Drosophila melanogaster: one gene and its partners. The protein of the gene in region 4 purifies or fractionates together with the protein of the main gene of each other region. This does not show direct contact. Each region holds a gene or a part of one and is shown on either strand. Other genes may lie near its edges.

Region 1 (7,963 bases), on a different chromosome or scaffold from region 4:
GAGGAAATACTTGGCGCACTCGCTGTTCGTCCAGATCTTGTGGACCGGCCTGTTGGGGTTGCGGTAGAAGCGTGCATCTTGCATGCAACTGGCTGCGCCGGAGGTCGAGCGACGATGCCGAGTTTGGTTGCCGACTATTCCATCATTGTCTGCAAAGCAGGCACACAAAAAAAGAAACTGGGTGTGAGATAGCCGTGTGTAATTAACAAGGAGACTGATTACTGATTAATGCATTGACCCAAAAACGAAACCGCTCACGTCAGCCCAAAATTAGCCGCTTGCAGAAATATTTTTGCTTTTTTCCAGCTGGATACCAATCACGCACTGAAATGGGTGGTGCGCATAGTTGCCAATAGTAGTCAACTATTACGGAGCAAGACGACAAAAAACAAAAAAAAAACCCACGTCGCTACTTCAATTGAAACGAAAAGTTGGACAAACTTCAAGGAAATATATGTATATATGAATGTGTGTAGGCCACTTGCTCGCTTAGAAGTGCCTGAATTCCGAGGACCGTTGGACTTCGATGACCTTTTTGATTGGCTCGAGGCCTCAATTAACATTATATTAACCATAATGTGATCTTAGATGATCTTCCGCCGTGATTTAAACGTGATGGAAACAATAGTAAGACAACTAGTCACGAAGTACAGCTGGCACTAAACTAGCACTCAAAATTATGTTGACTTGCCATTTAAAAATATTTTTCCAATTTATATGCACTGGCAAACTTGGAAATGATTATGAATATTGAAAATATTGGATAAATATTGCTAGAATTGAGTGTAAACTATGGAGCACCTTTGAGATAAGTATAGTAAATTGTTGAACTTTTTCAAATCACTTGTGTAATAGGTCTTTCTGAAACTAACGCCAGCTCCACCCACTTGGAAATGCGTCCCAGCCATGTGCCACATTGCGGCGGACGGGTTGAAATGCGTTTGCATCATGGATCGGCAGCAATGGCCCGTAGCCGTGCCGCACCATATCGTAACTCAGGCGGTTGGGCAAGCGACGCGTGTTGGCCAAATGCAAGATGCGATCTCAAGATTGGAGATATGTGCATACATATGTGTGACTATAGTAGATAGACCGACTGACTGACAGTCCGTGTGTGTATATCTCCATCTCCATCTCGATCTCCATCTGAATCTCAATCTGCAGCTCTAGCTGAATGTCTAGCTGGGGCAGCTGGGCATTTGCAGCATTTAGAAAGTAAATTTATCATCTCCGCCGGCCAGAGAGGCCAAGGCAGCGGGTCAGGAAAATTTCAGCAACTGTCATGGGGTTCAATGCACACGCTCTTTTTAGTTTTTTTTTTTTTTTGTTTTGTTTTTTGGGGACGGGTGCGGGCATGTGGACAACCCGACTTGGCCCCACTTGGCTGGTCGTTTCGTGTTATATAACTCCTTCGATTCGATCGACAACTTTCACACCCAATGTGCGCATGCGCGCATGAGCATGCCAAAAACTAAATAAATTCAGTCGTACCCAATCGAAAAGCGAACAAAAGGGGAGAAAATTACCAATGACCAGGGCGTCCAGCGACGACGACATAATCATAAGCGCCACCATCATCCAGATGCACAAACTGGGTAAGCGGTGGGCGTTGGGAATTCGCGCTGTTGGTTGTGGCTTCGAGCGTCGCTGGGCGGAAGCGACGACCTTGACTGTGAAACCCGTTTGGCCATTTGCATTATAGGCATTTTCCCCCGGGCAGAGCATTTTTCAGCCTGCTTTCCACTTTGCCACTCGCGTTTGTGTTTGGCTGCTTGCTTTGAGCGCTTTAATCTTGCGCGCGATCGGAAAACCGAAGGAAAAACCGCCAGTGAAAATGGTTCCGCACCGAGCCAAAGTCGAGTTGTGACTAAAGTCGTGCGAGATGCAGCCAAGGCATTATATATATTTGGGCATTTCTCTGACTTGCGGATAGCGGAGAGAAAGCTCCGCGCAGTGGGTGTCTCGCTTATGTTTTTGGGGAGCGCAGAGCGCGCTGAGTTATTCATAATTTCCAAACTATTACACGGCTTTTTTGGAAATTAAGTAGTTTGCTTGCTTATTATGAAATTCATTTACTTTACGATGAAATAAATGTATTTCATTATTTTGCTAACTTCATCGAAAAAACTACTTAGTTGAGTTTTATTGTGATTTAATTAATAATATTTCATATTATATTTACAAATATCAGTTTCATATATGTTTTAGAATATTTGAAATTTGTTCTTAGCGTCGATGTAACGACTTTTAATTTAAATTCAAACTACAGAGCTGACAACTCGCCTGATTTATTTAACGGCCTTGCCAGTATTTTGCGGGCACATCAAGACGGTCACACTGCTGATAGCGTCCTATTACCATTGGCGCCCGAAAAAGCGATTTTGTAATTCGAGGATTTTTCCTGGATAAATCCACACGGAGAATTTACTGAGAATAGCGCACGATGCAGAAGGCGCGTCCCAGCAAGGGCACGCCCAAGGCAGCTGGCGGAGCCCGGCAGAGCGGCCAGTTTCGCGTACCGCAGCTAACTGCTCAGCAACAATTGCGGGCGCAGCAACAACAGGAGGAGGAGGACGCCGCCGTGGACGCGCTGGATGATGCACTGATCTTCGACGACGAGGAGGGCGGCACCCGGATCGGCGACATATACATACCGCCTCCGGTGCCGCCACATTGCTCCATGGAGAGCACCGGACCGCGCCTGATCATCTCGAAAATTGTAAATCGGAATTTCAAGAGCTATGCGGGCGAAGTGGAATTGGGTCCCTTCCACCAGAGCTTCACTGCCATCATTGGACCCAATGGCAGTGGCAAGAGCAACGTTATCGACTCCATGATGTTTGTGTTTGGTTGCCGCGCCAATCGCATCCGTTGCAAGCGTGTCTCCACCTTGATCCACTCCTCGTCTAGTTATCCCAATTTACGCAGCTGCTCGGTCGCCGTCCACTTCAAGCAGATCGTAGACAAGGGCGACGGCACATGCGAGGACGTGCCCGACTCCAGCATTGTTATCGAACGCACTGCCATGTCGGACAACTCTTCCTACTACCAGATCAACGACAAACGGGCGCAGCTCAAGGATGTGGCTAAGCTGCTTAAGAAGCATCATGTGGATCTGGAGCACAATCGCTTCCTCATTCTGCAGGGCGAAGTGGAGTCCATTGCCATGATGAAGCCAAAAGGGCAGACTGAAAATGAAACTGGAATGTTGGAATACCTGGAGGATATTGTCGGAACACAGCGCTACATTCGCCCACTGCAGCAGATAAACCAACGGGTAGATCAACTCACAGACGACCGAACAGAGAAGCACAACCGCTGCAAGCTGGCCGAGCGCGAGATGAAAGATCTGGAGCAACCGTTCAATGAGGCCGTCGACTATCTGAAGAAGGAGAATGAGCTGGTGCGCACCAAATCCTTCCACATCCAAAAGATCATCAGCATCAAAAAGAGCAAGCTGGAGCAGTACACCCAGGAGCATGAAGCCTGTGCGGAAGAGCTAAAAACCCACGACGAGGGCACTGCTGCCCTGAAACAATCACGAGCCGAAAAGGAAACAATCATCCGAAAGGAAATTGAGTAAGTACCTAGCTTCAACTTCAAACTGAGCTATATATTACATTACATTACGTAATTTCAGAGAATACGAAGCTCTAGTGAAAAAGCGCGAACAGATCAAGAAAAGACTTGTGACTGTTGAGAGTGCCTACACAGAGATCCAGAGCACAATGGAGAACACGAACAAGCAGCGCAAGAAGGACAAAGCCCAGATAGAAAAGAACGAAAAAGAGCTGGAGGATCTGCACAAGTTGCCGGAGAAAAATCAGCGCGAGATCGAGGATTGCAACAAGAAATTGGAGAGCCTGGAAGTAAGTAAGGTGACACTGAATGAGGAGCTTGAAAAGCAGCAGGCCGAGTTAACTAAAACCACTGCACCGCTTACCGAGAAGCGCCTTAAGCTCAGTGACGAACTGGTGGGCCTTAAGGAGAAGGTCAACACGGCTAAAGGAGAGGTTCAAGTGTTCGAGTCGCAGCTCAAGATCCTTAAACAGGCAGAGACCACTGAGTCTAGGAAATATGAAACCCTAAAAAGTTCGTACGAGCAGTCGCAGAAAAGTCTGGAGGAGAAAGTAACAAGGGTGGACGAGCTGAAAGAAAGCATTCCACGGATGAAGACCGAAATTGCCAGCAAGTCCGCGGAAGTGGACAAAATGGTTAAAGAGGAACGCAACCTATCCATGCAGTGCAACAAACTAAGAACAGAGGTATGGTTCATTTATTTACATTCTATACTGTTCTTCTATTTATAAATACCTTTTCCGGCAGATCAATGAAAGATCTAGCGTCATGCAGGCTCAGCGATCCAATAACAAGGTCCTAGACTTCCTCATGCGTATGAAGATGGAGGGAAAGATCCCTGGTATTCTAGGACGCCTGGGTGATTTGGGTGGCATAGATGCCAAGTACGACATTGCTATTTCGACTGCCTGCGGGCGGTTGGACAACATTGTTACGGACAACTATGAGACCGCATCGGCGGCCATTGGCGCTTTAAAGGAGTACAACGTGGGCAGAGCCACCTTTATTACGTTGGACAAGATTGAGCACCATCGTCGTGAGGCCAACTCCAGGATAAATACGTAAGTAATAGTAACAGAATGAATGGAAATGGTTATTAACACCATTCACGTACTATTGCAGACCAGAAAACGTTCCTCGTTTGTACGATCTGGTTAAGGTTGAAGATGACCGCGTACGAACCGCTTTCTATTTCGCCCTACGGAACACACTGGTATGTGACGATCTAGAACAGGGCACCCGCATCGCCTACGGCAGGGAACGCTACCGAGTTGTGACCTTACGTGGTGAGATGATCGAGATGACGGGAACCATGTCTGGTGGCGGCAGTCGTCCTATACGCGGAAAAATGGGCACCCAGGTGCGCACCAAGACGGCAGAATCGGCTGACAGTTCGCAAATATCTCAGAAGGCGTTAGAAGACATGCAGATTCAGGCGGAGGAGTTACAGGCCCGAGTCAATTATTGCCAGGAACAGCAGGGCAGTCTTGAGCGCGAGATTCAAACCCTGAAGAATGGCTTGCAGCGTGACGAGGCGGAGTACAAGCGGCTGGCGGTGAGCATCACTTCTTTGGAACAACAGATGGCCAGCAACCTGAAGCAATGCGAGGCGCAGCGGCAGCGAATGCTCAAGAAAACAACAGACGAAAGGGCAGTCAAGGAGCGGGAGGAGCAAATAGAAGCAGCGAAGCAAGAGCTGGAACAAGCACAATTCGCCGAACAGGCTGTCTCCAGCCAAATCGAAGAGATCCAGAACCAATACGATACCCTTAGAAATGAAAGTGTCAAGCCTGTGGAGGCCAAGATCAAGAAGGTAAATAGCCAGATAGAAAAGCTGGCCGCCAATGTGCGGTCCTTGAATGTGGGCTTGGCCACAGCAGATCGAAATATAACGAAAATCACTGGAAACAATAATAATCTCCGTGAGAATATAAAAGCTGCAGAAGAAAAATTGAAATCGTTGAATGAGGATCGAAATAAGGCTAAGGAAAAGAAGGAGGAGTTGGAAAAGGAAATAGAGGAATCGGAAGCGTCCATCGAGGGCGCCAAATCACAATCCTCCGATATAAAAAAAGAAATAGATGAGATCACCAAGGAGGAGAACAAACGAAATATCGAGCGCATTGAAATAGATACTAAGCTGCAAGCTGCAGCGGGAAAAATGAACAAGGTGAAGAATGACATTCCCGGATGGCAGGCTCAACTGGCGCCTTTGAAGCTCAACGAGATTCCAGGAGAGACTGAACCGCAAGCGCCACTCAAAGAACTCAACGAAGAAGAGCTGGAGGCAGAGACTCTGGAAGCCTTGCAATATAAGCAAACTATGCTGGAGGAAGATCTGAAAACAAAGAAGCCCAACTTGAGTTGCATAAAGGAGTTCAACGAGAAGCGCTTAGTCTACCTCGATCGCGTCCGTGTGCTGGAGGACATCACCTCCAAGCGCAATGAGATGCGCGACAAGTACGAAGAAGTTCGCAAGCGACGGTACAAGGAGTTCATGGATGGCTTTAGCATTATAACAAGAAAACTGAAGGAAATGTACCAGATGATCACACTGGGCGGCGATGCTGAGCTGGAGCTGGTGGACTCCATGGATCCGTTCACCGAGGGCGTAAATTTTACTGTGCGACCGCCAAAGAAAAGCTGGAAATACATCTCGAATCTCTCAGGTGGTGAGAAAACTCTCTCCTCATTGGCACTTGTGTTTGCCCTGCATTATTACAAGCCCTCTCCGCTGTACTTCATGGATGAAATTGATGCGGCGCTGGATTTCAAGAATGTGTCTATAGTGGGTCACTATATCAAGGTAAATACCTCTCTGCTTTCTTGCCTTACATTCACATTTTAAAGCCAATTGTTGTTGTGTTCACTTAGGAACGTACGAAAAACGCTCAGTTCATAATTGTTTCACTTCGTGTCAACATGTTTGAGCTGGCCAACTTCCTGGTGGGCATATACAAGGTCAGCGATTGTACGGACTCCATCACTATGCTGAACTATCCGCCTACGCTGCCCACTCAGTCGCCAGTGGTCGCTAACAGCCAGTACGTGGGTGGAACAATTGAGGGGGATAACACGATAGCTGCCGAGAACCAAGACGATACCCCCACGAAGAAGAGCCAATCGCCGCCGTCAGAGCAAATAGTCCGCTTGATTAGTGAGTTGGGGAGGGATACCACATTTGCGCCGCCCTTGGAAAGTACGGTGAGGGACACAATACTCGCGCAAAATCTGAAACAGGCCGCCACTGAGGTTGCTGCTCAACCGTCAGATGCCACGGGAAGAGTAACCACGGATGTGTCCCTAGCAAGCCCGCCATCTTCCCCAGCCATACTTAATGTTTAACTCCAACCTACTTCAATATTGTAGAATGTTTTCTTATCCTGTAAAGGGGCATGTTGTAAACTGCCTGGTAATCTAATTTCTGGTAAAGACCGAGACGTAATTTGATGACCTCAGGTGAATCGGTATTTCCAATTGGTATTATCCTTTCAATGCTTAATAATAAATGTTACATAAAATTGTACAGGCATCTTTTTTTTTATTTAAAAACTGAGTGGTCTTTAACTTATTCTTAACTAAAGCTGGCCATAATCTTTGAGCAAATTCCTTCCAGCGCCTCAGTGGTGACATTCTTAAACTCAGTTAAATCCTCGCCAGAATCGCAGGCTTTGGATATCTGTTGATCCAGAGGCAGGGAGCCCAACAGCGGGATTCCCATTTCGGCGCACATGGCAGCGGCTCCTCCGGTTTTGGCTGGAAAGATTTCGGAGCTATTTCCACAATGGCCGCAACGGAAACTGCTCATATTCTCGATCACGCCCACAATGGGGATATTTTGCTTTTTACAAAAGTTGATCTCCTTGCGCACGTCCAGCAGAGACACCTCCTGTGGAGTGGTCACCATCACGGCGCGCAGGGACTCCGGGTTGGCGTCGTCTTTCAGGTACGAAACCACAGACAGGTGCTCATCGGAAGTTCCAGGTGGTGTGTCCAGTAGCAGGAGATCCAGATTTCCCCAGTCCACCTCGCTCAGAAACTGCCTGATCATGCCATTCTTCTTGGGTCCTCGCCAAATAATGGCATCGTCCACAGAGCCCAGAAGAAATCCGATGGACATCAGACACACGTTGTCTTCGATTCCCACAGGTGACCAGCCGTACCCAGACTGGTGGACACTCTCCCCCAGGGCGCCCATCAAACGCGGTTGCGATGGACCGCAAATGTCGATATCAAGCACGCCGAAGTTACTGTCCGGATTACTTCTGGCCAGATAGCGGGTTAGCAAGCTGGTTACCGTGCTCTTGCCAACGCCGCCTTTCCCGGACAGGATCAGCAGCTTGTGTTTGACATCTTTCATGGATTCGACCACCAAAGCCTTGCC
Region 2 (8,596 bases), about 19 Mb from region 4:
GTTCAAAGTCAATGAGTTAAGGGTTTTCAAAATATTCCTATTCAACCGACTTGCACACTTGCAATGCTGCACGAGAAATGATCATCTAGAGCGCATGGCACCTCCTTTTATCGGAGATTACTTCAATAAAAGTGAAGATTCACTTAACTACATCTCTCTTATCGCGGGCTTTACAATCTAAGAAAGCTAATAAACGTATTAAACCATGTTTATTTAGAAAAACACGTTGGATTTTGTAAAGGGCACAGTGAGTTAAAAAAATTTTAGGGAAAACATTATACTCCAGTTGTGAATGAATATCTCTATTGACTTTTTAATCATGTTTATCAAACAAAATTAGTAATTTTGATGAAACTCCATACAAATTCATTAAAACCACATATGTATATGTACATTATGAAACGCACTGTACGAGCATATTTCGGCTAGCCACGATGATGCCATGCGGTAGCACCCATTAAAAGTAGGAAAACGTGTGAGGTGTTCATGTCTCATGTCATGTCACATGTCTTTACAATTTTTACAATTAAATATATACATTTATATTGTTATTCCTATCCTGAATAAATTGTTCTAGATAGATTATTAATTTATGACATTTGACTATATTATTACTCCACGCTGACTACGTCATTTTAATGGTGAAATTTGTGGGATGCTTAATCATGAGCCTTTATCTCGGATCTTATCTGTGTAAAGCTTATCTCAAAGATGACTTAACACATTAATTCCCATTGAATGAATTACTCATTAGACGTGCAAGATTCTCATCCCACAATTGGGGTTTTATTTCTTATACTAAAAGGAGTTATAAATATGAGGAGCTCTTTTTTCCAAGCCATTCACAATGATTGACACTATTTCCAGCGTCGATGTCCAGTCTTTTGCCAACTCAGCTTACTCGATAGCGTCCACAAGCTTGCACAACATGCGATCGTGCTGGTAACTGGGATCATTCTTGGCCGCCGCATTCGCCTCCAACGGATCCACCTCCGTCTTAATCTTTGCTCCGCCGCTATCGTCGTCATCATCTAGAACCGGCAGAGCTGAGAAGGCGGTATTAACGATCTCGCGCACACGTTCCAAGTGCTTTTGGAAACGGGCGGCGGTCTCAACGCGCTGCCGCTTCTGCATTTCCATCATGACGCGCAGCGTTTCCCTCGCCTGATGTGGGCGAAATTCATTGAGGAGGTGATGCATGTTGACGAACAGCAGACTGATATCGTCAATCTAAGATATCAAATGAGTGTAATACAATAGATGCTACATTTTAATGGGTCAATTGACTCACCTTTTCCGTGCGCCGCGGGCTGTCAGGATTCAGGATAAGAAAGTCAATGAGATCTAGGAAGTTGACCAAGAGGGAGTGGTTAAGCTTCTTGAGCTCCTTGCGCCGATCGAAATGGATGGGGATCAGTCGCTTAATATTCTGGGACTCCAAGCTGCGGATCATCTCGTCGTTGTTGTACTGGATGCCAAACATGCTATAGACTTCGTGCTGCGCCGGCGGCGGCGGTGGGCGTGGCGCTCGGTTGCGGCGGATATTCTCGTCCGTGTAATTGGCGATGTACCGCTCCGGCGGCATCGGCAGGCTGGAAACCTGGGTCTCCTGGTTGGACATTATGAGATTAACAAGTGCGGAAATACAAAAATAATAAATGATTTTTGTTTTGAAGAAGTGATGGCACCTGAGACAGGCGAATCACTCACGATAGTGATGACACTATCACTCAAATTGTTTTCTTAAAAATGAGCACACTAGAGGTTTGAAGCTAGACAATGCAATAATAAGCAGAATTTATTATAATATGTTTTGAGACACTGACAAATAATTTACAATTACAAAAATTAAATTAGATATTAATCGAGCTCGAAATAATAAATGATTCACCGTGCCTAGCTATCGATAACTTAAAGGTGACCATGCTTGCATGCACCCCCTACAGCATTGCCATAGCAATTTTTCTCCGTCTCTTCCCTCATTCGTCGGTAGAGCACAACAAAATAAGAAACACATATATATCTTGATGTGAATAGCTAATTGTTCCAGCACCGATTCGCGCCAATATTCCTGTTCCTGCCAAAGAAATGAAAACAAAACGTAAAACCATAACATAACTGGACCCAACTAAGAGACAAGCCGTGCTGCCTCCACCATTTTGATTTCCCCACTCAGCGTGTGTGCGTGCTTGCAGTGCTTGTGCACGATGCCAGTAAAATGTGCAAAACCGGACATAAAACAAACTTTTCCTAGTGTCATCTAGTGAGCCATGGAGCGGATTTTGCCTGAAGAAGCGGAAGCGGGTAAGCATCCAGAACTTAGGTAACCAACGCAGGACAGCCCCAGGCGTGATCTTCGTTTCCCATTGATTAAGTCAGCGCTATTTCCAGTATACCGCGTGTGTTGGTGCTTCTATGCGAGTGTGTGTGTGTGTGTATGGGGAGGGCCGAAATAAACAATAAAGCGGATCTGCGATTGGGTGTGTGGTTTTTGCTTAAGTAAATCCAATCGGTTTCTATTTAATTCACAGCCTACTTGAGCGAAGCGCGGGAGCAGATATTGGAAATAGCCAAGAATCGGCCGGGAACCCAAGTGGCCAAGTGCATCCGCGCCTACGATGAGCAACAGGACCTGGCCTCGCTAGTCGTCCTCCTCGAAGAGCTCTCCAAAAACACGGACTACTCCACGGACCTACGGATATCACTGGGATATGTGAGTGTTGAAGACCACTATTATCAAGATAAGCAAAACCGCCGAAGAGCAGAAAGATCAAAATAAAAGTGTGACGCAACGTGCGTGGGTTTTACAGTCATGCCTCGATAACTGGTATTTTAACTAAAATTATATAAATGGGTTTTCAAGAAAATCTATTATTTTATTTACAGTGAACACAAAAGCCTGCAGATCCTCAAATACATTGCTTATATTTTCAGTATATTGAAGAGCTACTGCGCCACTGCTTAGGACGAAATGATGTCTCTCGAAGATCGGCCATCGTGGCCGCAGGAAGTGCCCTCCAGTACTGCGGCAAGATCTATGGAGACCGAGTGGAGTACCTGTGCCAGGTGGTGGAGCACCAGATCGAAGCCCTGCTCACATCGGAGTTGCAGAAGGAGACCCCTAGCGGAAGTGCTGCGTAAGTTTAACTCAGAACTGAAGAGTTAAGAAGATGGAGAAAGACAAGGCCACGTGCTCCCCACTTGTCGCCATTGCTGGCTCTTTTCGGTCCAGAATTCCGCTTATCGAGCTTCACTTTACGCCCCCTTCGGCTTTGTTTGCATTAATATCACAGAAGCCGGCTTGCCGTTAATGGACGATAGGGCACGTTCTCGTGCTTCCAAAAACAAATAACAAACAGAGTATATAAAGAAATGAGAAATTAACCAGACAAGTGAAGCTAAAAACGTAGACAGTTCATTCATAAAAATAACAAGTTATTCAGAGATAGATCACATCCTAAATAAATATTTTTACATTATAATTCACTTAAATTCTTTCTTATCAGCCGGCATTAAAGAATTTGGGGAGATTATTTGACCTAAATGTTGAAAGTCTAATTAATTTTAAAGATAGCACCAGTATTTTGATTAAACATAAGATGATTTCATTATAATATTTAAGTTACATAATAATCAGTCCTTTAAAAAAAAGAAATCTTATCCTCTTTTAATCTGCATTTAGCGATATAATAATTGTTTTCCTTTCATATTTACAGACCGGAGAAAAACGAGCGCAGGCCTGAGGAAACGCGCAAACGTCACCCTAAAAAGCTAACTAACAAGGAAGTTGATCCCTATTTGCTCACGTTGGAACCGAAAAGGTTTAAAACCATGTCGGACGACAAGCGCTTCAACGCGGCGGGCTTTGTAAAGTGCACGAGAAATCGGACGATAGAATACCTTTATCAGGATCACACGCCGCCCAACCTGTGGAAACACGCGCCAATTGTGGATCCTCACAATCCCTACGACCAGGATGAGAAAAAGCAATACAAAATGTTTACGTATCACGTAGAGCATAGATACAATACGCTTCTGCCAGATATTCCCTTCGAAAGGCTGAATCTCATTAAAGAATATGTTCACACAAATCAGGTGAACACCACTGAGATTCTTAATGAGCACATGACCACAAAGGAATATCTGGACGAGTATATTGCGCTGGAGAATCAAATGCTAGCAGCCCGCTATGGAGCCATTGTCACAAGGAGAAGAAGATTGGTTGATTCCGCGAGATTTATGGAGGACAATTTGGATGAGGGACTGGCGAAAAAAATGTGCATGGACAAGAATCTGCCAATGGACACGAACGAAACTGTTCTTATTGACCAATCTTTGGTGGATGAAAACAGCAGGTCGTTAACCACAGCCGAGTCTACGATGGGCATCAGTCAGGCGGAGAACTCTACTTTAAAGAGTAGCGAAGTCGAGGCGACTTTAAGCGTCAGCCATATAGAAAACTCCTTAAGCGATAGCCAAGAAGAGAATCCTCCGCTGAGCAGCACATTAGCCATTAACGAGTCTAGTGTTCTCGACAGCACGAGAGTGGATCCCATAAAAGATCTCACTCTAGATGAACTGTTGCTAATCGATTCAGGGATCAGTATGGAAGAGCTTTCCGATATTCAAATGCATACAGGTAAAGCAATGGCAATCCAACGCTCGCCAAGCGTACTAAGGATAAGGGTTTTTTTAATCCTTTATTTTTTGATTTCAAATACTTACATATTTGTTTTTCTTTACTCTTTTATTTTGGCACTTGTCAAACACTTGCATCCCTGCATTGCATTTGTCACAGCAGGCCAGTCTTTTGATGATGAGGGTGTTGTTCTTTCAGATTTAGAAGATCAACGCCAGTTGTCGCCCATGTTGCAGATGGTTAGCCCATCGATGGAGGCAAAAACGCTCAATATCATTGAGATGGATGCTGATCTTATCATGAATGTTCCAAGGGAGGTGAGCTATCCTATTCTGCTGAATGTTATGGGTCTCCCCATAAAACGCCTGCGTCGGAAATGCATCTTTAAACTTCCACCTGAGTTCGACTTATTCAGGCAAGCAGTAAGTGTTTTCAGTAGTTACATCACTGTTGGAAAAAAATCTTGAACTGCATATGTGTTTTATTTTTAGCGCCTTCCTATTAAGCGAGAGGGACAACAAAAATCCCCAACCACTCCCAGAACTGTACTGCAAATTGGAAGAGAGGCTCCCCAAAATGAAAGAGAACCCGGCTCCCCCTGTAGTTTAGAATTTGATGAGGACTTGAGTAAGTTACTTTGCCACACTATGTCACGTCGCGAAACTATCTTACATATCTTACCAGATTTTCTGGGTTTCCGCCAACGTCGACCCACATTTGACTCGGGCTTCGATATCGAAGAGCCGCGTGTATCAAGTTGTGTCTCCACTATCGGAGAAGTTAAAACTGAGCTTGAAGATGAGATTGAAGCCAACACCAATAATTTAACTGACGCGAGCGCCAGCGACGCCTTGAATGAGAATGTGAACGATACAAAGGAAAGTGGGCTGGGAGATTCACTAGCGCAGGAATTAAACGCTTCCACCGAACCCAATGCGGAAAACAATACCGCAAATTCATCGCAACTTGAAGTGACTGCTACAGAATCCTCCGGAACGCTAAGCGGACTGGAAACCACAGTGGATTTAGGAATGGAGAGCGCGTTAGTTAGTTCTGTATTGGATTTAAGTACCGAACCGAGTGCAATGGATAGTAACATTATAAATGTCACCCAACCTGACAATTCAGACCTAGAGATTTCAACCGTGCAGGACCAAGATACCTTACATGACGAAGCAGATGCAAATGATTTGTCTGCTGAAACACCCAATCCAATTGCCGACTCAGCAGTCGACGACTGCTCATTGGTAAATATTGGATATAAAATTATAAAAAAAATACTAACGTTGTCCATTTAGATCCGGGACTGGCATAGACGATTGGCTCCTGCTTTGGAAGCAGCCCATGAACGGCAGAATTTCAATATTAAGGACTTGGGCACCGAGATCCTGGACATTTGCAAGGCGGGCAACAGAACAGCCACGTTAGCCGACGTCATGGCTGACAAGGATCCTAGTATCATGTGTCGCTACATGCTGGCTTCCCTGGTACTGGTAAGTTAATGCGTTCAATCAAAATGCTGTCCTTCGATAAGCAATCATTTTTACACTCCTCATTTGCAGACGAACCACGGAAACGTGTCTCTGGATTTTGAAAATCGCGATAAAAGTAAGCCCATCGACATGTCTCAGTTTCGAATGCATTTAAAGAGTATGAAGCGAATGGAAATTAATCCCGAGGACGACGTGGGCAACATAAATGCTGCCCAGAGCAAATCGACGCCGAGAAGTAAACAGCTAAATGATTCAGCTCACAAGCCACGAACAAGCACGACGGCATCTGCACCAACAAAACGAAAGTCTGCGGAAAATTCTTTATCCGAGGTGTTTGCTAAAACTGTGCGATTGATACAGCCCATCCCAAAGATGTGGCCTACTCCTTCTGATGCCGACTCGGGGATATCTTCGATGGGCTCATCATTGGCATCGACAGCCCGCCTGAAGTAGTAGCCGTGTTTCGTCTTAAATGTGCTTAGTAGTTCTTTGTAGATAAGATTCCTTGCGTCCTGACCCAGTAGTAGAGTCTAGTTTGTGTGCCCCCTTATTCGAATTCAATTTTTATGTATATTATTTTCAGGCCGAGAGATCAATGCGCTTTCCCATGCGGTACAACAAGATCAAGAGGCTGCATTAGATATATGTTCTTGCCAGATTATTTACCCGCAATCGTGTACAAATGTAAGTTTTAGTTACGTATTATTAGGAAGCTTGCAATAGAAAGAATGCTTTAGCTTAAGCTTATCGATGTATGAATCAATATTTCTTTAGAGTAGTAAACCAGTATTATCTAAGCTCGATTTTCCTAAGCATGAAGCCGTTTTTTAGTTTTTCTTTCACTTCACTTTTTTAACTTTTTACGACGCTTTTAGTTGCTTATGAAATTTTCACATTTTTATTAATTTCTATTTCTTTTGAACATTTTTGATTTATTTTACTTTACCTACGAATAGATTTATTTCGTATTCTTATTATTTCTATGATTTCCTAAAAATTTAACACTATACCTCCTTTGATTTAGAACAAAAATAGACAAATGACTTTTTGATTGACGAAGCGCGTGTTTTGGAAATCCTCATGAGCTGATAGTACTAAATTCAAGTACCTGATCTCGTCTGTACAAAAGTATAAACATAAGAACTCTTCGGACATAAGACAAAGTTCAAGATAAATTAAGGATAAAGTGTATATATACGTATGTATTTACCAGAGTGCAAGCTAGTGTCTATTTACAATCATTTTAAGATATAATGTTTTTTTCGTAAGTATAACGTGTAGTTCTTAAGGAATAAAACGGAACCATGCAATTACTTAATGTGTTTTAATGAAAGTAAGTCGGCGATTCTCCCAATGCTACTCCGAGTCGCTGCTGCCTGACTTGTGCTCCTCCTCTTTCTTCTCTTCAGTCTTGTAGTGGCGATATTCTTTCTTGAGCTCCCACATGTTCTTGTGCGGGTTCTTCATATTGTAATCGCAGACATCCTTGAGAATCTCCTTCAGGTAGCTAATCGGCTGGTTGGTGATCTTGACCAGATCCTTGATGTTATAGTATTGATGCTTCTCGAATGCGTGGAAGAGCATATCCATCACGGCATTCTTGTCGTCGCGCGCCTTCTTGCCCTCGGCCTTCTTTCGCTCCCGATATTCAATCTGCAGGAATGGAGGAGTTATATATACATATATATTACCAAAACAGAGTGTATTATTGTTCTCACGTTGTGTGCGTGGTCTTTTACAGGCTTAAAGTTCTGCACGATTTTGTCGATAGGCTGCACACGTCGCTGTGGTTCCGATGCCTTGCGTATGGACTCCAGCTTTAGTTTCATGTAGCAGTTGTCGGCGATGGGTCGGCACTCTAGCTTTTGCACAATCCTGCCCTCCATATACAACTTTTCGTTATCCGGCTGTGCCGCCGAGGTAGTCGAGTTCTCCTTGCCATCGGACGGTGCCATGTGCGAGAATACGCCGAGCGTCTGCTTGGTGACCTGCGACACGTCCAGGATGTGCTCGGTGGGTATTTTCTCCTCGGGATCTAGAGCCAAAACGGCGGGCGTGAGGGAAAGCGAGACCTGGGCCTTTTGGCCAGGTGTCTTGTTTATCCGGAGCTTGCCCACGTCCATGTTCGTCGGCGCCTTCTCCCATTTCTGGGCAATGTACTTGGGCACCTTCACCAGCCATACGCCTCGCCCAGCATTGGACAGGTCCAGGTCCTTGTCGATGATCTGTGTCTTTTCCTTATCCTCCTTCGACATTCTGTTTGCTTTAAATTATTAAAAACGAATTTGCAAAGCCACTTGTACCGTTTTCGGCTTTGCTTGTTGTTGTTGTTTTGCCGTAAATTTAGTGCGGTCGAATAAACAGTTTCGAAAAAATGCTAGTTTAGTATATCACGGTATTTTTCTTTCGGTATTTATTCGTTATGTTATTATTAGGCGCCAAGTTTGAAAAAGTCCGAAGTGCA
Region 3 (6,487 bases), on a different chromosome or scaffold from region 4:
AATTCGATTGATGTGTTCGCAGTAGTCGTACTAGCAAATTCGTAAAGGCGCAGGAATGATTTGCAATTAAGGGCGTTTTCAATGACCATTCCGAAGACTTACTTATTTGCATAACAGAAATGAACGGCTTGCTTAATCAGCAACACATTCGAACCCAAATAAAACTAATTTGTTTTACCCCGATCGTGTAGGTACTTGACGGCATGGCACATTTGGTAAAAGTAAAGCTTCGAGATGTCCTCGCTAAGTAGTTTGTTGCTGATGATCCGGTTAAGCAGGTCGCCGCCGCGCATAAACTCCAGCACCATATACACAGAATCCGGCTTGTCCACGATGTCGTGCATGCGAACCACGCACGGATGTGAAAGATTCTTCATAATCTTGGCTTCGTTCAGCACCCGGTCGGGATCACTGAAATTGGTACTGGGTCGCGCCCCAGAGAGCATATTCTTCTTAACGATTTTCATCGCAAACTGCTGGCAGGTGCGGGTGTCATAGACCAAACGCACCAGTCCGTACGCTCCAGATCCCAGCTTGCGATTTACATAATACGTCTTGTTAATCTCCTCGGGAAGCCCGATCGACTCATTCGGGCTGAGATCCTTGAATACAAAGGCTACAAGGGAGGGCAGGTGCAAAACATCAAATTACTTGCGAGTCCTTGTCGATAGCTATACCTGCTTGTCGATCGCTTACCTTTGTACGTTGGGTGGGACAGGGAAATTACGTCGTCATTCTTTAGGATTCGCATCCTGTTTGTGCCAATTTTCTCGTTATTCACAAACGTCCCGTTGCGTGAGAGATCCTGCGAAATGGGCGGAAACAAGGTTACTACATTTTAATAATATACGGAATTATACGGAATAGTAACTTCTTTTTGTAAATTAATTGTGGGAAATATTCAATATTGAAGTTACCTTTTTTGATAATCTCAACAAAACATAAATAAAACTTAATTTGAATTCTGCTCTTGTGGGTTCTGAATTTGCTATCTTTTTTTTCAAGGCTTCCTTCAGAGCTTTTGGGTTTGGAACTTCCACCTACCTGAATATAAACTGGATTGGTAAGTTCGCAGTTTGCCCGCTTTATGATAAAATGCACTTTGGAAATGCGCGTCAGGATTTTCTCGGGCAAATCGTTGAGCGTGAGGATCAAGTCGTTGGCCTCCCCTCGTCCTGCGGTGAACTCGTCGTTGTTGAGATCTGCAAACAGTTCAGCATGGGATCGTCATTAATACATGAGGAGCACACGCAATGGGGACACAAAACAGGAGGAAATGTGGTTACCAACAGAAAAGGACGAATGCGTATAAATGATTCGGTATTTTGAACTCGTACCCAGCGATTTGATCTTAATGTTCTTGCCGTACAATCGACCCCAGACTATCTTCTCCATCGGCTGGCTCTCCACCTGCGTCCAGATATTGGAGGCCTGACTCTGGGTTCCCTGCGTTCCTTGTGTGTCGCGTGCCATAGTGATTCCAAAACTCCGAAACTCCGTAGCCCCGTAATCTCGTATTCCTGCTATTCCGCAAGTCGAACTGGAAAACCCGTTAGGTTTGCCTGGAACTGCGTAAATTCGAAATGTCCAGTTACTCCAGCACTACCACAGGCAGAAATGCACACATACACGAGGAGTCCGATCTTCGGAAAAGCTATAGATCTATAGAAGCTATGGGTTTGAATCTCTGAGCGTTTCTTCTGCCCAATTCGATTACATCGAGCTTTTCGCACAGCGCTGGCTGATAGTTATTTAGAGTTTATCAGACGAAAACAACGAAAACTAACAAAAATCACGACATTGGTTCGATGTGAACTGCGCGAGGGACTACAATTTCTGCGGCAGTGTGTGTAAAAGTTGCCGCCTTCCAGGGATGGGGTGATTATCAGCGCCAGTGTTGGCAAGAGTCCCAAGGAAAAATTAAGGGTTTTTACAAATTAAATATTGCTTAGGTTAAGACTTTATTGTCAAAAGAAAAAATACTAATTAACTACCGGACTGAAAATTATATAAAAAACTAAAAGTATTGAAACAGATTAATTCCTTTACAGATCGTAGTTTCTTTAATATGGTACATGTATTTGAAATTTAACGGCCATCCATTGTTGAAATCCATTCAGCACTGGCAGGACCTGTGCAGCCCTGAACTTAAAGAAATTCCATTGTAAGCTATCGTGTTTTTATTCGATTTCGAAGCTTTAAGGTGTAAATTAAGTTTGTTTATTTCATTTTTCTCATATGATAAAATTATGTATCATGTTTATACTAGTTAATTATATTCCGCAATACTTTATAGCTAATTCTTTAGCGATTTTCCTGTCCATATTATCTAGCTAGCTTGGCACACCTTTAGTTTTAACCAACACTGAAATGCAGCCCTAAATTGCGGCGTCGTTTGAAAGAAACTGTAAACTATTACCAATACCAGCGCAAAAACAGAAATAGACAAAATACAATCAACAAATCATCAAAAAACAAAAAATTCAAAACTGTCGAATTGGGATCACAGCTATTATTAAAAGTGAGTGTGCTTATTAACACTCTCCAAAACCATCAGCCTACGGCAACCAAAATTCCTTGTGCTGTTCTCTGACTTCATCTCTGATTTATCCACTTCCTTGAAAGGATGACTCTGCCCCGCTTAGAAACTCCGCTCAGGCGGTCCGCAGTAGGCAGTTACCAGGAGGGGGTGTCCCGCATGCTAACCCCCTTTAACGACGACGAGGCGGAAAGGCGGGAAGCCCGACGTCGCACGCTCCTTCAGCAGCATCACCGGTCGAGCACTCTGGAGTCCATCGAGGACAATGAGACCATCAAAAATTGCTTGGAGCTCTACAATGGCAACAAGGTGAGCAAGGACAACGCCTGGAACCTGATGCTCATCGATTCGTTGGCCAATTTGCTGGATCACCATCACAAGCGCATGAGCAACTTCAAGGTGGGTTTTGCCTCATTCAGTTTATGTAAATGTAATAATTTCATGATGTTATACCCTAGATGGCTGGTTCCTCTTTAGAAGCCTCTTCCAAGGTTTACGGCCTGCGTGTGGACTCCATCTACTTGGACGCCATGCGCATTTCAGCTGGCTTGAGTGCACGAACTCTTACGGATAAGCAAATAAATGCTGCCGAGGATGATGATGGCCCCCAAGGTGAACAGGCTACTGGCGAGGGTCAGGACTCAGCGCAACAGGCAGCAAAAGAAGCAGCACCGAAGCCCAAACGGCAAAAGAAACCCATATCCACCGTGACCAAAAACAGAGAAACGCTGAACAGCCGGCTGGATACGGCTCCCTTGCAGGATCCTGTGTTTGGCAAGCTGAACTCCACTGTGGGCTCTATAAATGCTTCCAATCGTCTGATGCACAACATTCTTCCTAGTTTCGACTCTGAATTGCGCTTGCGTACCACCTACAATTTTTGGAACAGCGAAGAGTCCACCGAGGAGGTCCAGGACCACACTACACTCAATGCAGAAATGGAACAATGGCCAGCCACATCACTTATGAGCACCAATCTTATGCGCAAACTGCTGCCACATGCTGAAAGGTCAAATCTGCGACCGCTGCATACGGGCTACATCATCACAAGTGCTCCCAATCCCAAGTCGGCAAATGAAAAGGCCGCCGAGGTAGTGCAGGATGAAGATCATGACGAGGGTCTGGATAATGCCGACGATATGTGTGTAAATGAGATTTCCATGGCCTTTGACATCAATGCCGAGTGTGAGCCCATGCCGGACCTGGATGGACCACCGCCTCTGGTGCTGGAGGTGGACTCCAATGAGCTGGAAGAGCTCACTGCCGAGGAGCAAATGGTGATCAATAATTGCCGTCGGCTACGTAAGCAGACAGAGTTCATCGAGGATTTGCGACCGGTAGACGGGAATTCCAAGCTAGAGTACTCCTACAGGCCGATGGACCAGATCTCCCAGTTTTGGGCCGGCCCCTCGCATTGGAAGTTTAAGCGGACTCGCCCGCGCAGCACTTTCTCGCAGACCAATGGACAGGTGGACACTCAGCCTATTCGCACTCAACGAGCGAAGAAGTCAGCGCATCTGAATGCCAACCGAAGAGCCAAGGCTTTGGACTATGGCAATGTGACGGAAAACTTCTTCCAACAGCTGGACACCACCATAAGGCAGCGCAAGGCGAATTTCCAAAAGAAGTGGGATCCCCGAAAGCTGATATTGCCCACCAAGTTCGAATTGGACCCGGATCTTTTCTTCAAGTACGAATCCGCTCCCAGCATAAAGTTGTCGAAACGCGCAGGTGAACCTGATTCGGATGAGGGTGGAGATCTTGGCATCGATATGGATGCGGATATGCACCACGATGATGACAATGACCAGGAGCTATTCAACAACGAGCATTTTACCGACGCCGTTCCCGCCAACGTGAGCGTTATTGCCGCGATTGCTGCGGAGCAAGCGGCCGAGGCAAGCATGATGAACGTGTCCGCGGGTGAGATTGGCCTCACCCAGATGAACGCCACTTGCAACAACACAGTCTTCGAGATCGGCACCGAGTTCGAGGGTGCGCCGTCGCAGGTGAGTCTTCACTATAAAATCATATATACATACCTGGTATTCTAAAAACCATATAAAATAATTTACTTGCAGGTTGCCAAAGTGATTGTTCCATTCGCGAAGAGAGCCAAGGTTATAGACATGAAGAATCTGAAAAAGTCCTGCAACTCTCTAATACAGAAACAATTGCTAAACGCTGTGCCGGAGGAGACGATACCCTCGCATCCCAAGAAAAAGGGCGAACACTATTCAAAGGGTTTCGCGAGTTTTCAGCAGGTGTATCAGAAGCTGCCCGACCTTTTGACCACCAAAATGTCAGACTCGCTGTCCCCGTCGGTGGCATTCTATGCGGTTCTGCATTTGGCCAACGATTTGAAACTGCGGCTAATTCCGCAGGAGGACTTGGAGGACTTTCAAATTCGCCAGGTGTTGGATTGAATTTCTTTAATTATTTTTCAATTCATAGTTCTAGTTGCCCTTAAATGCTGTTACAATTTATTTTCACGGCTACTCCTTAATCTCTTACCTCTATTTTTAACTCCCAATTCGTATCAGTATTCTGAAACAGATATCCTCACCCCAGTCGAATTTTATACACAAACGAAGCATTGTTCTGATTTAAACACTAGTTAGTAAACAATAAATTAGGAAATATCTAAGAAAATTTCGCTGTTTTAATGGGGTATAATAAACTGGTGAAATTTTCTCAATTGGTAAACACGTATTTATGGCAAAACGGCATCAAAAAAATCTGTAATTTAAACGCCGCAGAAAAGAATTAAAACTTTCGCATTAGTTTTGGCTGTTTATATTCTGCTGGCGGCTCAGACAGAAGGGAAAGTAGTTAACATTGTTTTTCGTTTCTGTTGCTCTTTCATTTGCATACTTGTGTTGGTGCACACTGACAGAAATGATTTCGAGAACAATTTTAATAAGAAACCTCGATTATTTTAATATTTTTAACATCTGCCGAGTAACAGGTATTTTAAAACCAAAAAATAAATAAAAAAATGGGTAAAAAATTGTTTAATTTATATGGTAAAATGTTGCTTGTTTACCACTGAAGAATTCGCGATTTGAAGCTTTTCCGGCGGATATAACTGTTTACAGTGTAGAATGGAGAAAAAAGGAATGGAAATCCTAAGGCGTTTTTAGTTGCAAGTGGTTTTTGTCGCCTCCTGAAGAGGATTTTCCTTCTGCATCTGTGTTTGTGGGGCACACATGTGTGTGTGTGTGTGTGTGTGTGTGTTGGCTGCTGGTGTGTTTGTGTTTGTTGGAAAACTTCGGTGTTTACAGAGCGCTTTTAGGCGCCGTTTGCGTGTGTGTGTAATTGCATATTATTTGCATAAATATTTGCGAAGTATACTAAGTAACGTTAACGTTGGCGTCTACCGATTACACTCTGTACATATGCGAGAAAAAAACAAAAACGAAAACATCAACAACCAGATCATTCGAAAACGTTTCGCAAAACTTTTGACATTAGCGAATGACACTGAACAAAGTTGTCAACTTAAAAGTTGATTCTAATCTGCATATGTTCAAATTGACGGTTACAAAAGGATAATTTCGATGAGATTTCCATGTTTGCCTTAAACTTAAACTATTTTTAAGTTTTTGGCTGAAAGTAATAAAACTAAACAAAAAATCTGTGAAATTTCTGGAAAATGTAGTGGGTTTTGCGCTTGTTATGTATGTTCTTATCGTTGTAACCAGGTTCCGTGAAAAAGTTTCCCCTGCTCATATGTTTTTCAGTTTTCAAGGGAAATCCAAACATTTCAAATTCCATTTCAGTAGCAGACACTGTTGTTGAATAATTCGAGAGCATGCATTTTGAATATAATGACTTTTGCACAGTGAAAATTAAACGTATTATGCTAACCCGTTAGCCGCCCACCAAAATTTTATCCCCGTAAAGTGCAATTTCGTGTTAAATTTTCAATGCCTGCATGAAATTAAC
Region 4 (7,903 bases):
CGAGGATTCGGGCCTGAAGTTCACGATCAATGCAAGCTACTCCTTTATGAACAACATAGACGCTCTGACTCCATTTGGAATGAATGTAAGTCCCTTAGTTGCGTCACAGTTTGCTCATATTTTGTTTAATTTTATTTTTTGGTTACTAAGCTCATGATTAAGGAACCACGCCAGTGGTCCAATGAAATGATGTACCACCTGTACCCGGATACGGAGAACTTTGTTGCTGTGCATCCGCTGGTCACGGAAACCTCTCCAAATACCTATGAAATGAGTCCCAAAAAAAGACGTTGCTACTTTGATGTGTGTATAGCTTGCAACTAATAGGAAAAGATAATCATAATAATAATTCCTTACTCCATAGGATGAAAAGAACCCTACCTTCCAGAACACTTCGTTGACTTATAACCGCGAAAACTGCCTGGTGGTGTGCCTCCACTTAGTTGTGTGGAAGACCTGCCAGTGCTCGCTGCCAGCTTTTCTGCCTCCCATTGGTAATTATCGTAATTATTCTATTACATTTTAAATTTTTTTTTTTTTTAGATGGAGTTCCGGAATGTGGAATCAACGATGCACAATGCTTGGGCAACAATTCCGATATATTCACTTACGTGAAGATGGGTGATCAGGAGAAATACATTAACGACTCACGACAGGGTCACTTTTGTGATTGCCCAGACAATTGCAATTCACGGCTGTACGAAATGTCACTTAATGTGCGCAAATTGGATTAGTAAGTTCAATGTATATATTCTTAAAGAACAGATAATTAAATTCCCCTCTCTTTTAGCCCAAAAAACTCGACAGATCAATTGATAAAAGCCCAGGTTTATTATGGCCAACGTGTCATGACCAAAATCATTACGAAACTCAAGTACACCAATATAGATTTACTGGCCAACTTTGGCGGGATCATAAGTCTGTATATAGGGGCCTCCGTCATGAGTTTTATAGAGCTTTTATTTGTGCTGGGAAAACTGATGTGGGGTTTCATCAGAGATGCGCGCATAAAATTGAAAGAGTATACTAAGTAGCTTACTTTAAAAAATGATGTAAAACTTTGCCGTAAACAAGTATATATAACATTATTTCTGTTTAGTTTCCTGGTCCGTGGGATAGCGTATATAGATAGCCGGATGTGGCACTGTAGCCGGCGTCTCTGGCAGTTGGTCCAAGTAGGAGCAGCCGATGGCCAGGGCGCTGCCATCGGAGCTGAAGTTGAGCGTGGATATGGAGGTATCGTATTCGTGGAACTGACAAAGGCGCTTCTTGTTGAAGCCATCCCAAATGTTCACAATGCCATCGGATCCGCCAGTGGCGAACGTCTGATAGACATTGTGGAAACTCAAGGCATTAACGGGGTAGATCTGTTCGATATTCTGCTCCCTATTCCGGTGGCACTTGAAAGCGAACTTGCGGCGCTGCACCTCAGGATCGTGATCCAGGTACTCCACTGCCACCCGTCCCTCGATGGAGGACATCACGTAGCCTTCTTTGTTGGGGAATAGACGAATGCAGCGGGTCTGGTACTTGAGCGAGGACTCCCGCTTCATGATGTAGCTGTCCATCTTGCGAAGGTCCCAGATGAGCACCTTGCGGTCGGAGGTGGCCACCACGATCTTTTCGTCGATCACGGACATGGAGTACACCTTTCCGTTGTTCTGTTCGAAGGTTCCAACGCAGCGCTTCTCCCGCATGTCCCACAGCTTCACGGTATTGTCCCAGCTACCCGTGAGGATGCCATTGACATACTCGGCGTGCTCCACGCATCTGATGGGCTCCTCGTGGGCACCAATTATGCTTTCCGCCTGGGTGTTGACATCAAAGAGACGCAGCTGGTTGTCCAGGGAGCCACTGACCACGTGCACTATGTCCTGCGGATCGTTGGTTGAATAGGGGATTGTTAATGTGTACGAAGGAGTCTCACCATGAAGGCACAGTCGAGAAGAGGGGCATCCTGCACGAATTTCTGACGCAGCTGGTTTGCCGGCACATCATAGAATCTAAGTGTTCCGTCCCAAGAAGACGCCGCCATGTATTGATTCGATTTGGGGCCGAATTTCACAGCGGAGATCAGGTCCTCCGGCGGATTGTTAAGCTTGAACTCTGGGGGACGCATTTTGTCAAGTTTTCTGCTAGCAACTTGTGGATAATAAAACAATAAATTCAAACAGAAACTGCTTAAAACAAATCAAACTCCGAATTTGCACGGCGTCTGGAGAAGAGATGCGAGTATTTCGATATCACTATCGATACATTGCATATTTGCATCAAGGGGACTCCCTAAACAGGTACACTTTTAATAATGTAAAAAATTTTACAAACCCCTGTTAAACCAATATAAATTTAGTTTTTGTGGTAAGTATCTATCTGATAAATACACCCTCTCATTATGAGCATTGTAAGCTTGCAGTCAGCAGTAACCGATAACCGATATCAAGCGATCGATTTGGCGGCGAATCTGCCCATCTCTATAAGCGACGCCACTCAATTCAGAAGATACAATTATTATTTCGCGGTAAATAGGAGTAATAACCGCCATGGAGGAATCGCACGACTTCCAGTTCGTCCTTCCCCTGAATGCATCTGATCTGATCAACTCCAGCGGAGATCAGTATTACGTGAAGGAGATTTTTGGCGCCCAGGAGATTCCCGCGAAACTACAAGGTAAGTTTCCGTTTTCGCGGTTGGTTTTTAAATTGAGTACAGTTTTCGGACGCGCAATCTTCATGTTTCCTTCCCAGAATGCAAGCGCAAAGTGCACTTGGGCGATCCTTTTTATATATTCGAGCACTTCGACTTGTATTACTCGATCATCGAGGCCCGCGGTTCAGATGGCGCCTCTGCACAGAATCTAATGAGGTCCTTTGACCTGCTCTACCTGACCGTGGAGAAACTGTTCCAAGACTTGCAGCCCCTGCTGACGGCCAGTGAGCCCATGTCTAACCAGCAGCGCAATAGTTACCTCAACCTGACCAAAATGACGCTGTTCCTCCAGGTGAGCACCGTCAAGAAGATCAACAACAGTGTCCAGCAGGCCATGCGGGATCAGCAGCTCAATGTTCAGAAGAAGCGTGCCAAGCCATCGGAGGGATTGGAGCAGTTTCCCAACTGGGAGGTTAAGCGCGGCAAGTTCTTGGTGCAGCTCTTCAACGTGCTGCAGTGCCCGCTGGAGAAGCTCTGGAGTCCGCCCGTAGCCGAGGAGGACTTTATAAAGTAAGAGCAAAGCATTTAGCATCCTATTTCTTCGATCTGCAATGTATCCATCTTCCCCAGTTTGCTCTGCGACCCCTGCTATCGAACAATCGAACTTTTGCCGCTTCGCATGGACAACAAACACGTATTCGACACGATCTTCCAGATCTTGGGCACATCGATCAAGCGCTTTAACCAGGCCATGACCTTCCCGGTGCGCATTCTGCAGATCCTACGCGGTACCGAGCATGCAGCCCATTCAGTAGCAGCTGGAATTTTGCTTCTGCACGAGGAGTACGGAATTTCTTCGGTCTTCTCCATTCTAATCAAGAGCATTGTGGATGCTCTAAGGATGGACAGTTCTGACTCTTCGGTGTCCAAACACTTCTCCAATTTCCTGGCCGAGTTCTCGAACATAGCACCTTCGCTGATCGTACCGCACCTGGAAAAGCTGGCGGAAGATTTACTAGATTGTCAGTCTCACACGCTGCGAAATTGTGTGCTCCAGATCATCGGCGACACCGTGGTTAGCGAACTGACCTCGGAGGATCTTAGCGAAGAACTGAAGGAAGTACGCAATGAGTTCCTCGAGCACCTAATGGCCCACATCCTAGACATTTCTGCACACGTGCGCTCCAAGGTGCTCAGTATCTGGCATCACCTGAAAACCCAGCACGCCATTCCGCTTAACTTCCTGACCAGAGTGCTGGAGGAAGCCATCGGAAGGTTGGAAGACAAGAGCTCGCTGGTGCGGCGTGCCGCCATGCATCTGATCAAATCCGCCCTGGAAAGCAATCCATACAGCAGTAAGCTTTCCATAGATGAACTCCGTGCCAAGCATGAACACGAGGTGCAGGCAATGGAGAAACTTAATGAGGTACTCGAGGAAGAGCGCAAGCAGGAGGAGAAGCTCAACGACGAGTTTAGCAGCTTGGCGCCCGAACTGCTGCCTTTCATAGAGGAGAACCTTACGGAGTGTGAGTTCATGCAGTTCCGCTAGTTCGACGTATATATTAAAGTTTATTGTTATATTACAGTTCCCGATATGCAGTTCGACAAGGAGGAGAGCGACGAGACCTTGATGGAGCGGATCATTCCGCTGATGCGCGAAAAGAACTACAAGGATGTTATTGTTCTAGTGCGAAAGGTAGACTTTTTGGCGGGAAATCAGAATATGAGGTATGTTGCTAATCAAAGATGGTTTTGTTTTACCATAAATATATTTACTTTCCAGTTCCTTACTGAAGCACGAGGAGCATTGCGTGTATGTGCTGGCCTTGCTAAAGACATATCACCTGCTGGCTGCTGGATTTAAACAGAGCGTATGTTTAATCTTAGAAAGTTATATTCCCTTCTAACCAAATCTTTTAATTTAGAGCGAGGAAATGCTGCAGCAAATCAAAACGGTGCAGTTCCTAAAAGACAGCATTGACTTTGCCGTCTTGATGACTTCAGCCTTCCCCAAACTGCACGAGATGCTCATGTCCAAGACAAACACGGATGTTTTTGAGGCGGTGGACTTGTTCACCACCGGGTACATGTTCGGAATTCACGGCACGGAGTCGGGAATGCAGAGAATGCTGCAACTGGTCTGGTCTTCGGACAAGGAGAAACGAGATGCAGTGTCGGATGCCTACAAGCGCGTTCTGTTCTCCACGGACCAAACGGGTCGCGCTCATGCCATTAAGGTGGTGCAGAACCTGTCGAAGTTTCTTTCGGAAATCGAGTATGGTCACTACACGGCCTTGGAGTCGCTGATGACCGAGTGGGTGTTGGGTGGCGACATCGATGCTGCTGTCATCCAGGTGCTCTTTGAGCGCTTCACGCTAAAACTGGAGGGCACTACATCCAACGAATCTCGCCTGTCGCTCCAGCTCCTGATAATGGCCTCGCAATCGAAGTCTAGTATTGTTTCGGCCAACACTGCCATCATCGAGGATATCGCCGTCGGAGAGCGGGTGCGTCGGGATCCACGGATATTTACCTCCTGTCTGCAGCTGCTGGTCAACTCAATCGATGCAAACAACACTGCCAAGTATTATAAGCGTCAGAACAGCGATGCAGAATTCGTGGGAAAGATCACGCGGCTCTTCCTCGACTTCTTTTTCCACAGAAGTCTATACGACTTCGACGCACTGGCCATGAGTGTTTTTGAATACTTCTATAGGATGTGCCAGGCGCCGGATGTGATTGCGCAGCAACTGGTGACGGCTTTACTCAAGCAATTCAATGAGAGCTGGCTGGTCAAGGAAGCGGCTGCAATAGTTCCCTCTCCAGACAAAGCGGATACGGAAACTGTTCCGGACTCGCAGCCCTTGGAGATTCCGCATTCGCAGACCCTTACTCCCACTCAGACTCAAGCTGATAGCCAATCGCAGATGCAAGGCACCTTGATTCCCGTGTATCTCGTCTCCCGCTTAATCTTTTGCATCGGCTACATGACCATCAAGGAGATGATCTTTCTCGACATGGATATCTATAATAACATGAAGTATCGCGACGAGCTGACGGCTCTTGAAGAGCGTAAAAACCGCAATCAGCAGGCGGGAAGTTCACATAATGCGGCCAGACTTACGCTTAATATGTCAGCGATGGAGGTGCGCAAGAGGCTGTCCGGAGTGGCAGCGGAACCACAGCAGGAGCCAGACGACGATCTGGTGGGAGCGACTGCAGAGGACAACATCGCCGAGGAAATCCACGGCATCTGCGAGGACATGCTGCTTTACAACCCGGATGCTCTGCTCTCCAAGCTGGCGCCATTTATCATAGAGATTTGCAAGCGTCCAGGTGAGTTTGGTGATCCCACGTTGCAACAGGCCGCTACTTTGGCTCTGGCCCGGCTCATGACCGTCTCCTCCCGTTTCTGCGAGTCCAACATGAGCTTTTTGATGAACATCCTCAACCTAACGAAGAACATTCGAATCAAGTGCAACACGGTGGTGGGGCTGTCGGATCTCACTTTCCGTTTCCCAAACATCATCGAGCCGTGGACGGGGCACTTCTACGCTCAGCTGCACGAATCGAACACCGAGTTAAGGCTAACTGCCGTCAAAATGCTATCTCATCTGATCCTCAACGAGATGATACGCGTCAAGGGTCAAATCGCCGACATGGCACTTTGCATTGTGGACGGCAACGAGGAGATTCGCAATATCACCAAGCAGTTCTTCAAGGAGATAGCCAACAAGTCGAACATTCTGTACAACGTCCTGCCAGATATCATCTCCCGTTTGGGGGACATAAACCTCAACCTGGATGAGGACAAGTACCGCATTATCATGTCCTATATCCTGGGTCTCATCCAGAAGGATCGCCAGATTGAGACGCTAGTGGAGAAGCTGTGTCTGCGCTTCCCGGTAACGCGGGTGGAGCGTCAATGGCGCGACATCGCCTACTGCCTCGGCCTGCTCACCTACAACGAGCGAGCTGTGAAGAAGCTAATGGACAATATGCAGCACTACAGGGACAAGGTCCAGGTGGACGAGGTTTATCAGTCCTTCAAGCTCATCATTAGCAACACCAACAAGTTGGCCAAGCCGGAGCTCAAAGCTGTAGTCACCGAGTTCGAGAACCGACTGAACGAGTGCCTGCAAGTCAACCCGGATACCGCTGCCCAGGGTGATCAAGAAAGCACTCCAGAAGGTCAGGGCAACAGAACCAGAGCGGCGCCAAGGACAAAGAAGGGTGGTCGCAAGCCGGCGGCCAACAGGAACAATACTGTGCGAGGACGCGGAAGACGTGCTCGCCGGGATTCCACCTCAGAAGAGAGCTTCAGTTCCAGCAGCAGCGACTAGTTCGTGCTCCATCTTAAGTTACGATCTGAGCGGGTTTTTAATGATGTACAAAGATGGTTTTTAATAAAATAGTTAATAGAACCTATTATTGATATATTTATTACTTTGAAGTCAACAAACATCTAGTAAACTACTAAGATCCGTTTCCACATCCATCAGAAAGGGAACAAATATTTGGTTGCACTAAGCTACTGGGATGGGGAAACCAACACACGTAAATGGCAATACTCTAGACGCTTTGGAAGTACTAAGTTTGGTGGTTGCGTTCATGTTGTCTCTGGGCCTCCGACAGATGAGCACTGGGCACTGGCTTCACTTAATTTTCTTGCGAAGGGAGCGCTGGAGGGCAGGACCGTCGTCCGCGGTGCTCAGCGCAATGGCAAACTGGGCGGCGTAGTAGGTGATCATGATCTGGAGGCGGGCGCAGGGCAGGGGCACGCCCACGAACATGGTGACCGCGATCAGGGCGTCGGAGATCACAAACAGAATGGCTCCGATGGCACAGAACACGGCGAGGAAGTTCCTGGAGTCCACGGCGCGGGCCAGCGATCTCCACAGCATTGTGGTGATCAGGAAACAGTAGATGGGCACTCCGATGATGAGAATCTCGTCCAGTTTCGTGTGCACGAAGTAAACAACTGGGGGTTTCAAATATTCCAGGTAAGGTATACGTATATAATGACCAGTAAACTTACAAAGCGATACGGCCACGTACAAGAGCAGTCCAATGAACCACTTTATGGGCTTCCAGCCAAAGGCGCTGATATAAAACACGTGCGCCACTCCAAAGGAGATCATTCCGAAGGGAAAGAGATTTATGTTGAGCAGAGCATCACCACCACTCGAGAAAACCAGACCCAATAGAATCCAAAGTGAGCGACGGTATCTGTTAAAAATTTCTTGTTAATAAGTAA

What was found.
Region 1: the proteins of Cap-D2 (region 4) and glu purify together in Drosophila melanogaster (affinity purification with western blotting, with the first as the bait; 2 studies listed by BioGRID). This does not show direct contact.
Region 2: the proteins of Cap-D2 (region 4) and Cap-H2 purify together in Drosophila melanogaster (affinity purification with western blotting, with the first as the bait; one study listed by BioGRID). This does not show direct contact.
Region 3: the proteins of Cap-D2 (region 4) and barr purify together in Drosophila melanogaster (affinity purification with western blotting; 5 studies listed by BioGRID, with this or other methods). This does not show direct contact.

The regions. Positions count from the first base shown.
Region 1 is NT_033779.5:16,732,758-16,740,720, reverse strand, and holds glu (gluon), read left to right. Parts: upstream 1-2,332; 5' UTR 2,333-2,443; coding exon 2,444-3,579; intron 3,580-3,640; coding exon 3,641-4,265; intron 4,266-4,326; coding exon 4,327-4,640; intron 4,641-4,701; coding exon 4,702-6,385; intron 6,386-6,453; coding exon 6,454-6,924; 3' UTR 6,925-7,104; downstream 7,105-7,963. Other genes in the region: ChLD3 (chitin and LDLR binding deacetylase 3), read right to left, coding at 1-149, 1,527-1,725; Nubp1 (NUBP iron-sulfur cluster assembly factor 1), read right to left, coding at 7,154-7,963.
Region 2 is NT_033777.3:10,759,313-10,767,908, forward strand, and holds Cap-H2 (chromosome associated protein H2), read left to right. Parts: upstream 1-1,997; 5' UTR 1,998-2,270; coding exon 2,271-2,304; exon of another isoform or gene 2,305-2,531; coding exon 2,532-2,713; intron 2,714-2,934; coding exon 2,935-3,137; intron 3,138-3,716; coding exon 3,717-4,639; intron 4,640-4,798; coding exon 4,799-5,061; intron 5,062-5,130; coding exon 5,131-5,266; intron 5,267-5,323; coding exon 5,324-5,886; intron 5,887-5,937; coding exon 5,938-6,132; intron 6,133-6,201; coding exon 6,202-6,585; 3' UTR 6,586-6,715; coding exon of another isoform or gene 6,716-6,816; 3' UTR 6,817-7,156; coding exon of another isoform or gene 7,157-7,183; 3' UTR 7,184-7,444; downstream 7,445-8,596. Other genes in the region: MED7 (mediator complex subunit 7), read right to left, coding at 898-1,230, 1,292-1,621; transcription factor TFIIFbeta, read right to left, coding at 7,489-7,785, 7,851-8,387.
Region 3 is NT_033779.5:20,056,863-20,063,349, reverse strand, and holds barr (barren), read left to right. Parts: upstream 1-1,979; 5' UTR 1,980-2,164; intron 2,165-2,333; 5' UTR 2,334-2,626; coding exon 2,627-2,938; intron 2,939-2,997; coding exon 2,998-4,548; intron 4,549-4,620; coding exon 4,621-4,965; 3' UTR 4,966-5,187; downstream 5,188-6,487. Other genes in the region: lok (loki), read right to left, coding at 179-616, 697-805, 1,045-1,202, 1,287-1,473.
Region 4 is NT_033777.3:29,673,190-29,681,092, forward strand, and holds Cap-D2 (CAP-D2 condensin subunit), read left to right. Parts: upstream 1-2,461; 5' UTR 2,462-2,540; coding exon 2,541-2,667; intron 2,668-2,744; coding exon 2,745-3,216; intron 3,217-3,276; coding exon 3,277-4,172; intron 4,173-4,232; coding exon 4,233-4,374; intron 4,375-4,429; coding exon 4,430-4,517; intron 4,518-4,571; coding exon 4,572-6,989; 3' UTR 6,990-7,068; downstream 7,069-7,903. Other genes in the region: ppk19 (pickpocket 19), read left to right, coding at 1-85, 151-303, 365-494, 544-733, 791-1,034; Bub3, read right to left, coding at 1,086-1,874, 1,928-2,119; CG7582 (uncharacterized protein), read right to left, coding at 7,302-7,875.